2 linked regions of the Canis lupus familiaris genome follow. Each later gene encodes a partner of the first gene's protein in a complex. Links are inferred from orthologs where the notes say so. Each region holds a gene or a part of one and is shown in the gene's direction. Other genes may lie near its edges.

Region 1 (3,743 bases):
GCCTGTAGCTTCTTATGACTGTAGCTTTTGTGGCTCTCTGAGGTCCCCTGAAGATGGGGCCGTGTCTGTCGGGTCCTAGACCTAGAATGGGAAGTCCCTGGACTGATCCCGGTACTGAGGGAGGGGATGGGCTTGGATGGGCAGGGCATGGCTCTCGCTGACTTACCTGCTCACCCTTTCCTGGCACTTGAGGCCTGCTGACCCCATGCCAGGCAGTAACTAGGGGAAGGGTTTGAGTGTCACTGGCTCTGTCACTGGTCCATTCTCAGGCTGGGTGAGTCACGGTCCTCTGGCCCTTGGTTTCCTGTATCTGAAATGGGGATAACAGATTTGGGAAACCTGGATCAGAGTCAAAGCCATCAGACTGCATTCTCAGCCCACTGTGTTAGTCCTGGGGCCTCTCCAGGCCCTGGCATGGGATGAAACCTCAGAGGTGTGTCTGCCATGAATACTGGGCTGCTCTCTAAGATGCAGGATGTTTGCAGGTGATATCCCCTCACCTCTTCCCCCACCCCACCTCCCAGAAGACTAGCAAGAACCCAGAGCTCTGCCCTTGAGTTCCGGGCCTGGCTTTCTGTGCACTGGCCTGGGTATCTGTCAGTCTACTTGGGCCTTACTGACTGGCTTTCTCTTTCTGTGTCCCACCTGCCTCTGTTGTCGGGTTCCTGTCTCTTGCCACTTGATGAGTGCCTGTCTTCACCTGTTGGGTACATGTCACGTGTTGGGTGCCTGTTGGGTGGTGTCCCCTTCTGTCTCTGCCTGTTGAGTACATGTCCCCATCTGTCTCCACTTGTTGGATGCAAACCCCCATCTGCCTCTGCCTGTTGGGTCCCCATCTGTCTCTGCCTGTTGAGTTCACGTCCCCTTCTGTCTCTGCCTGTTGGATATATGCCCCATGCACCTCTACCTGTCAGGTATGAGTTCCCTCCTGCCTCTGTTTCGGTGGGTACATGTCCCCATCTGTCTCTGATCATTGGGTAAGTGTTCTTCCTACCTCCCTTTGCTGGGTATGTGTCCCTATCCATCCTTGCCTGGTGGGCATGTGTACCCTCCCACCTCTGCCTGTTGGATGCCTACCTTGGTCTGTCTTTACCTGTTGATGCCTGCCTCTATCTGTTGGGTGTCCCTCTTTATCTGCCTCTGCATGTTAGATGCCAGTCTTTGCCTGTTGGGTACCTGTCTCCCCCTCAGCAGCTGGAGTGGCATGGGGCTCTCCCTTTGTAGGCCCACAGGGAGGATGGGGGAAGGGGGAGGGCCGGAGGGCAGCACTCAGGCAACGGGGAGGGGGGCAAAAGAGAGGAAGGGAACGTGGTAAGATTGTAGGCCTGGAGCTGGGAAACCACAGGCCCTAAGTGATTGGCGGTGCTGAGCTGGGCCCAGCCCCCGCCCTCACCCTGCACATCCGCCTTGGGCCCGGCCACCTCGGAGGCAGCCCCGGACGCTGCCTGCTCCTGCCATGGTGCCTTGGCCCTGCCGGGCGAATGGAGCAGGATCCCAAGCCGCCCCGCCTGCGGCTCTGGGCCCTGCTCCCCTGGCTGCCCAGGAAGCAGCGGCCCAGGACCAGCCAGACCTCTTTGCCTGCCCCTGGCCCTGGCTCTGGCCCCAGGCGGGACTTGGTGAGTGTGCCCAGATGTGTGGTCCTGGCCCAGCTGTGGTCCTTGGAGCAGGTGCCTGGGCAGCTAGTTTGGCCTTAGTTGGCTTCCGGCTCTCCTAGCCCAGGCCTGGCCCTACTGGACAACTGGACCCTGCCCAGACTTGCTTCCTGGGGAAGTGAGGAAGCACTTCAGGGCTCCAGGGCAATCCCGGCAGATTGGAGGGAGGGCAGAAGGGTCCTAGAACAACTAGGACCAGCAACGGATTTTTAGAAAACTCCTAGAAGGAAGTTTCAAAGAGTGGATCATGGAGTCTCGGCCTTAGCTCCTGTCCACCCCTGACTGGCACTTACTGGGTTGGTGGGGGTGGTCTCTAGTGACTCTTGAGTGTCTGTGCATCTGAGCACTGTCCTTCTGGCCAAGGATCCTCTCATCCATTCTGACCCGGAACAAAAGCCTGGCTCTACCTCCCCGGTATGAGAATACACACTACTTCCTATTGTGGCAAAACTAACACCTTTGCAGCAGGGGGAGGGGAGTCCCACAGGCAGGACCTGGGCTGTGCCTGGGTATCCCTTTGGGTCTCACCAGGTCAGAGCAGCAGGGGCAGTAGGAGCAGTGCCTCCCCCTGACTCAGCACCTTGGTAGTTTGACCATCCCTGGCCCTTGAGGCCCTTTTGGTATTGATGAACCAGCAGGCTGGCCCCATCAGTATGGCCATCTGGTATGGCTAACAGGGCCCTGCCTCCAGGAGGAGTAGGCTAGGATGGGGACCATATTCCCTGCTCACCTGGATGGGACAACCATACTCACCAGCTCTGTTCCTCCATCAGGATGAGGGCGTCCTAAAGGAGATCTCCATCACGCACCATGTCAAGGCTGGCTCTGAGAAGGCCGACCCATCCCATTTTGAGCTGCTCAAGGTTCTGGGCCAGGGATCCTTTGGCAAAGTGAGTCCTGAGCCCAAACTGGGAGGGCAACTCATGTCAGAGGTGGGGGTTAGGGGTCACTTTGGGGTTCAGGATCAGAGGGCAAGGGTTGATGGGTCTGAGGGGAGGGCAGGAGGTCACTCTGGTACCCAGGGAGGCCCGAAGGTCAACCTAGGACTCTGGAAAATTAGAGGTCAACCTAGGACCCAGAGGATAGGAGCTGATAGGCTTAGTCCCCTCCCCAATTTCTCTGCTTTTTCCCATTGCCTTCTCAGGTCTTCCTAGTGCGGAAAATCACCCGACCTGATAGTGGGCACCTGTATGCCATGAAGGTACTAAAGAAGGCAACGCTGAAAGGTGAGTGAAGGTCACCTCCCCAAGCAGAGCCGAACTGGGCACAGGAGATGGGACTAGTGGGATGGGCAGGGTGCCAAGGGCTCTACTCTGGGCACTGCCGTGAGATGGGAGGGACACATGAAAGAGAGAGCCCTTCTTGGCCAGGGCTTGGGGATGACTGTTTTGAGGGGCTAGATTATCTGTGACTGCGTTTCTCTTCTGGCCAGTGCGTGACCGCGTTCGGACCAAGATGGAGAGAGACATCCTAGCAGATGTGAACCACCCATTTGTGGTGAAGCTGCACTATGGTGAGATCACAGACCCTACTTGAACTCCCACCCGACCTACCAGCCTTTGCCCTTGCCTGTGGGCTACTACCTTTCCCCTAGGTCACCCCTACCCCAGCAGACAAAGGGAGCTTAGGGTAGAGGGGCAGGGCCCAGGGCCCAGCTGGCTCCACCATTGCCTTTTCCCTCTCCCCAGCCTTCCAGACGGAGGGAAAGCTCTATCTTATCCTGGACTTCCTGCGTGGTGGAGACCTCTTTACCCGGCTCTCTAAAGAGGTAAGCTGACACTTGACTGCCATTGGGCCCCGGATTGGAGCTGGAGGGACAACGAGACCTCTTGTCCCAGGGCTCAGTGAAGAACATGTCCAGTGTGGCTTGGACTTGGGACCACTCAGGCTTGCCCCGCAGACCCGACCTAGGAACCCACTCTGGGACAGAGCGTACACCCTGGCAAAGCCTCAGAGTTTCTCCCAGGATGGAGGAGGAGGATCAGGCCATGGTTCTGATGCCACTCTGATTCCCAGGAGCTGAGGGTTCTTTCACCTCTGTACCTCCATTCTTCCGAGGTTGCCCTAGGCAGGGCTGTGAGGATGGGAAGA
Region 2 (3,743 bases), on another chromosome or scaffold:
GATATTTCTTACCCATTTCTTCTCCCTTCCCTTCTATTCCCTTTCACTATTATTTATATTCCCCAAATGAATGAGAACATATAATGTTTGTCCTTCTCCCATTGACTCATTTCACTCAGCATAATTCCTTCCAGTTCCATCCACTTCGAAGCAAACGGTGGGTATTTGTCGTTTCTAATGGCTGAGTAATATTCCATTGTATACATAAACCACATCTTCTTTATCCATTCATTTTCCGATGGACACCGAGGCTCCTTCCACAGTTTGGCTATTGTGGACATTGCTGCTAGAAACATCGGGGGGCAGGTGTCCCGGCGTTTCATTGCATCTGTATCTTTGGGGTAAATCCCCAGCAGTGCCATTGCTGGGTCGTAGGGCAGGTCTATTTTTAACTCTTTGAGGAACCTCCACACAGTTTTCCAGAGTGGCTGCACCATTTCTCAAGTTCTGTTTACATTCTGATATGGGGCTTTCAAGGGCATTGAGCTCTGTTCTTATTCTAATATGGGGCTTTCTAGGACGTTAAGCTTTAAGCTGTTTTCTTCCTGTAACTGAAGTAAGGTAAAGTTCGGCTCTTATTCACAGGGGCCTGGGATGGCTGTACTCGTGCTGACACTGAACTTAGAGTGGAATGGCCTTAATATTCTCGGCCTCCACAGACCCGACCAACCTGAGCTCAGGGCCCGGCCAGATATCAAGAGTTGGAGGATTAAAGGACTGAGCCACCTAGGTACCCCTCCTTTGTCTCTTCTATATATACATACAATTTTCTAAAAGCCCAAAAGCCTCTTGTGAGGTACAAGTCTCTGAAATGTAAATATCAAGGAAGATAGTGCCCCGTCTCCCCTCACCCGTAGGAGTTACCGCCTCAGCGCCTTGCTCCAAGCTTTTAAGTACCTGCTTGTCATAGTTTTATTTTCCTTTTGGATCACGGCAATTCAGTAACAAAGTGGGTGGCCACTACAGGGGCGACTTACCGAAGAACGAATACAGCAAACTCTTACACGAGAACGCGCATCGAACGGATGGTACCTGCCCGGCTACTTCGTGCTCTGCAGTCGCATTAGCGGCAACGCCTGGCACGCCCCTCCTCCCACTCGGGTCTCAGGATTACTGAGTAACAGAACTTATTTCCCACCCCCCACACCCAGGTTTGTAGCGATTTTCTAAGATGTCAGGAGATTTCATGTTTAATTTCTCCTCACCAATATCAACTGAGTGACCTCGACGACGCCCACTCCCGACGGTAAAGGAGGACGGCAAGCGGCTCGTCGCTCACCTCAGAGCTGGCGGCGCGGACCCGGGCGAGGTAAAGATGGCGGGCTGGCCGCCCGAACCACGACTCCCAGCATGCCCCGCGCTCCCAGCGCGCCCGCCTTCCTCTTCCGGTCCGCGGGCTGCTGAAACCGAAAGCGTTGTGCCTCGGGTGGCGCGCAGAGATTGGTTCACCTTCACCTGCGCGAGTCCCAGCCGACCCGGGCGCGGAGCCGGCCGAGCGGTGAGACATGAACGGAAGAGTGGATTACTTGGTCACTGAGGAGGAAATCAATCTTACGAGGGGACCCTCGGGTACGTGCGCACAGGTGGTCTCCGGGAGCAGGGTGCTTGAGGTTGTAATTGCGGAGCAGACAACCTCCTCTGCTGAGCCCCGGTTGGTTTGGCCTTGGAGCAGACAGGCCCCAGCCTAGAGGTTCCCTGCGACGCTTTGAGCACGTACAAGACCATATTGGCATCCTTCGTTAGCCGGACCCGGATCCGAGGAATCCACCTCATTTTTCAGTCGGATTGTCACATGTATTTATAGTCAGGGAGGTTTTCCTTGGCGGGCAAATTGTACCAGAAAGTTCTGCCCCAAGCCTGCTTTTTTAACACCACACCCCTCCTTCCGTTGCCTGCTTTTTATCCCTGTTCCCGTGAGGACCTGTTTAGTGAAAAATGGGAGCGTACACGGTGTTGACTGTAAACGCATGGCCGTTTTTTGTGTTTTTGTTTTTGTTGTTTTTTTAACTGCTGGAATCTCCCCTCCTTCTTTTCATTTTTTTGGGAAATTCATTTAGAGTGTCGACTGGAATGCTAAAACGCTAAGAAACCTTAGAGATCTGCCACAGCACTTTTTAAAGCTTACTTGGGCCTCAATATTACCCAGGGTTTCTCGGTTATGCTTTTGCTTTAAAAAAAAAAAAAAAATTTCCTAGGTCCCATCTCTTAGGAAATTGGATTCAATGCAGGTTTTGTTTGTTTGAGTTGTTTCTTCTCTCTTTTTTTTTTTTCTTTTTTTCAAAACAAGCACGTCCTGTGATTCTGATACCGCTAAATCCTCACTTAGCTTTCAGTCATCTTTCTCCTCAAACCCCTGTGTTTCCGCCAACGCTCTCACTCCACTGGGCTCTTAACTCATTATATGCAGCCTGCCTTGGGTTTTGTTGCCTCCCCTTACAGCTGTCTACTGATTTAAGAGCTTTGGCTCCGGGATTATGTAGATCCATCTGGCATCTAACCTCTTAATAGAACTTTGACATCGGTTGTCTGCCTAACTCTCCTGATAGAAGCTAAGCCTTAGTTTCTCATCCGTTAAAATGTGCGTGATAATAGAATATATTGCAAAGGGTTATGAGAATGAAATGAGTTAATCTATGTAAAACGTTCAGAACATTGCCTGACACCCTAGATAGCACTGTGTGTTTGCTTCCATTGTTGTTATTATTAATAGATGAATAGCTAGATTAGCACAAAAATCCTGCTAAATACTGTTATTCCAAGAGTCATCAAGTAACATGAGCTCTAGTTCTGAAATGTTTCCATAAATCTCTGCTCCTTTTGGCTCCATTACCATTTACTAGAACAGTCCATCATCTTGTCTCATGTGGAATTGTGCAATATCTTGAATACCACTTAGAGACTGTTCTTCATAAAATATACCTTTCAGAATCATCCGTACTTTGCCTTTTTTCTTGTCATAGAAGATTGGAAGTCAGCTTCACTTATGGATGTAATTCATTCTAATCTGCATGACTTAATGTCCTGCTTCAGAGGAGCACCTAAATGTTTGTTGAATGCTCATTCAGTATGCCCAGTTTTTTTGACTCCTTTTTCCTACTTTATGTAAATTTCTCCTCTTTTTTTTTTTTTAAGATGTTATTTATTTATTTATTTGAAAGAAAGAGCACAAGCAGGCAGAACCAAAAGGAGAAAAAGACTTTGATGAGCAGGGAGCTCGACAGACGGGTCAATCCCAGGACCCTGGGATCATGCCCTGAGCTAAAGGCAGACGCTCAACCGACTGAGCCACCCAGGTGCCCCTCTCCTCTCACTCTTCATATTTATTGACTTCTGAAGCTAATATGGAAAAGTATTGTTAAGCCAAATCTGCATTCTTATACTGTTCATCCACTGGTTCTTGTTCCTAGGGCCAGTTAAAACAATGCTAGTTCCTTTTCTGATTATCCTGCAAGTATTTAAAGACATCTAGTTGTTCTGCTCCTGTTTTGTCTTTTTCCTCTATAGCCTCAGTATCCCTAATTATTATATTAGCTGCCTTGATGTGATTTGGGATTTGATTCGTGTCTCCTAAGAATTTAATGTACTTTGACATAATTCTTTTGCTGTGGCATCCACAGCAGAGCAGAACTCTGATATTATCTTGGGTGTTCAAGTCACTGAATATATTTTTAAAGTTCAGTGTAATATCACTTCACCTTTTCTGGAGTTTGCATAGTAGGGTTGACTAATGTTCAGCTCACTAT

Evidence for each region. Proteins that work in one complex are often made in the same cells at the same time.
Region 2: the proteins of RPS6KA1 (region 1) and SYNJ2BP are in contact, whole or in part, in a crystal structure (PDB 7P74), measured with the Homo sapiens proteins. The link is inferred for Canis lupus familiaris from reciprocal best matches to the Homo sapiens genes RPS6KA1 and SYNJ2BP. Residues at the interface, in NP_002944.2 of Homo sapiens: Pro731, Ser732, Thr733, Thr734, Leu735; in NP_060843.2 of Homo sapiens: Arg18, Gly22, Leu23, Gly24, Phe25, Asn26, Ile27, Val28, Gln33, Ser45, Arg46, His78, Val82, Phe85, Arg86.

What each region holds. Positions count from the first base shown.
Region 1 is NC_049223.1:72,914,548-72,918,290, reverse strand, and holds the start of RPS6KA1 (ribosomal protein S6 kinase alpha-1), read left to right. Parts: upstream 1-1,395; 5' UTR 1,396-1,481; coding exon 1,482-1,616; exon of another isoform or gene 1,617-2,384; intron 2,385-2,405; exon of another isoform or gene 2,406-2,425; coding exon 2,426-2,542; exon of another isoform or gene 2,543-2,796; coding exon 2,797-2,878; exon of another isoform or gene 2,879-3,084; coding exon 3,085-3,165; exon of another isoform or gene 3,166-3,340; coding exon 3,341-3,420; exon of another isoform or gene 3,421-3,743. UniProt on the Homo sapiens protein: Serine/threonine-protein kinase that acts downstream of ERK (MAPK1/ERK2 and MAPK3/ERK1) signaling and mediates mitogenic and stress-induced activation of the transcription factors CREB1, ETV1/ER81 and NR4A1/NUR77, regulates translation through RPS6 and EIF4B phosphorylation, and mediates cellular proliferation, survival, and differentiation by modulating mTOR signaling and repressing pro-apoptotic function of BAD and DAPK1.
Region 2 is NC_049229.1:44,348,517-44,352,259, reverse strand, and holds the start of SYNJ2BP (synaptojanin-2-binding protein), read left to right. Parts: upstream 1-1,465; 5' UTR 1,466-1,505; coding exon 1,506-1,569; intron 1,570-3,743. UniProt on the Homo sapiens protein: Regulates endocytosis of activin type 2 receptor kinases through the Ral/RALBP1-dependent pathway and may be involved in suppression of activin-induced signal transduction.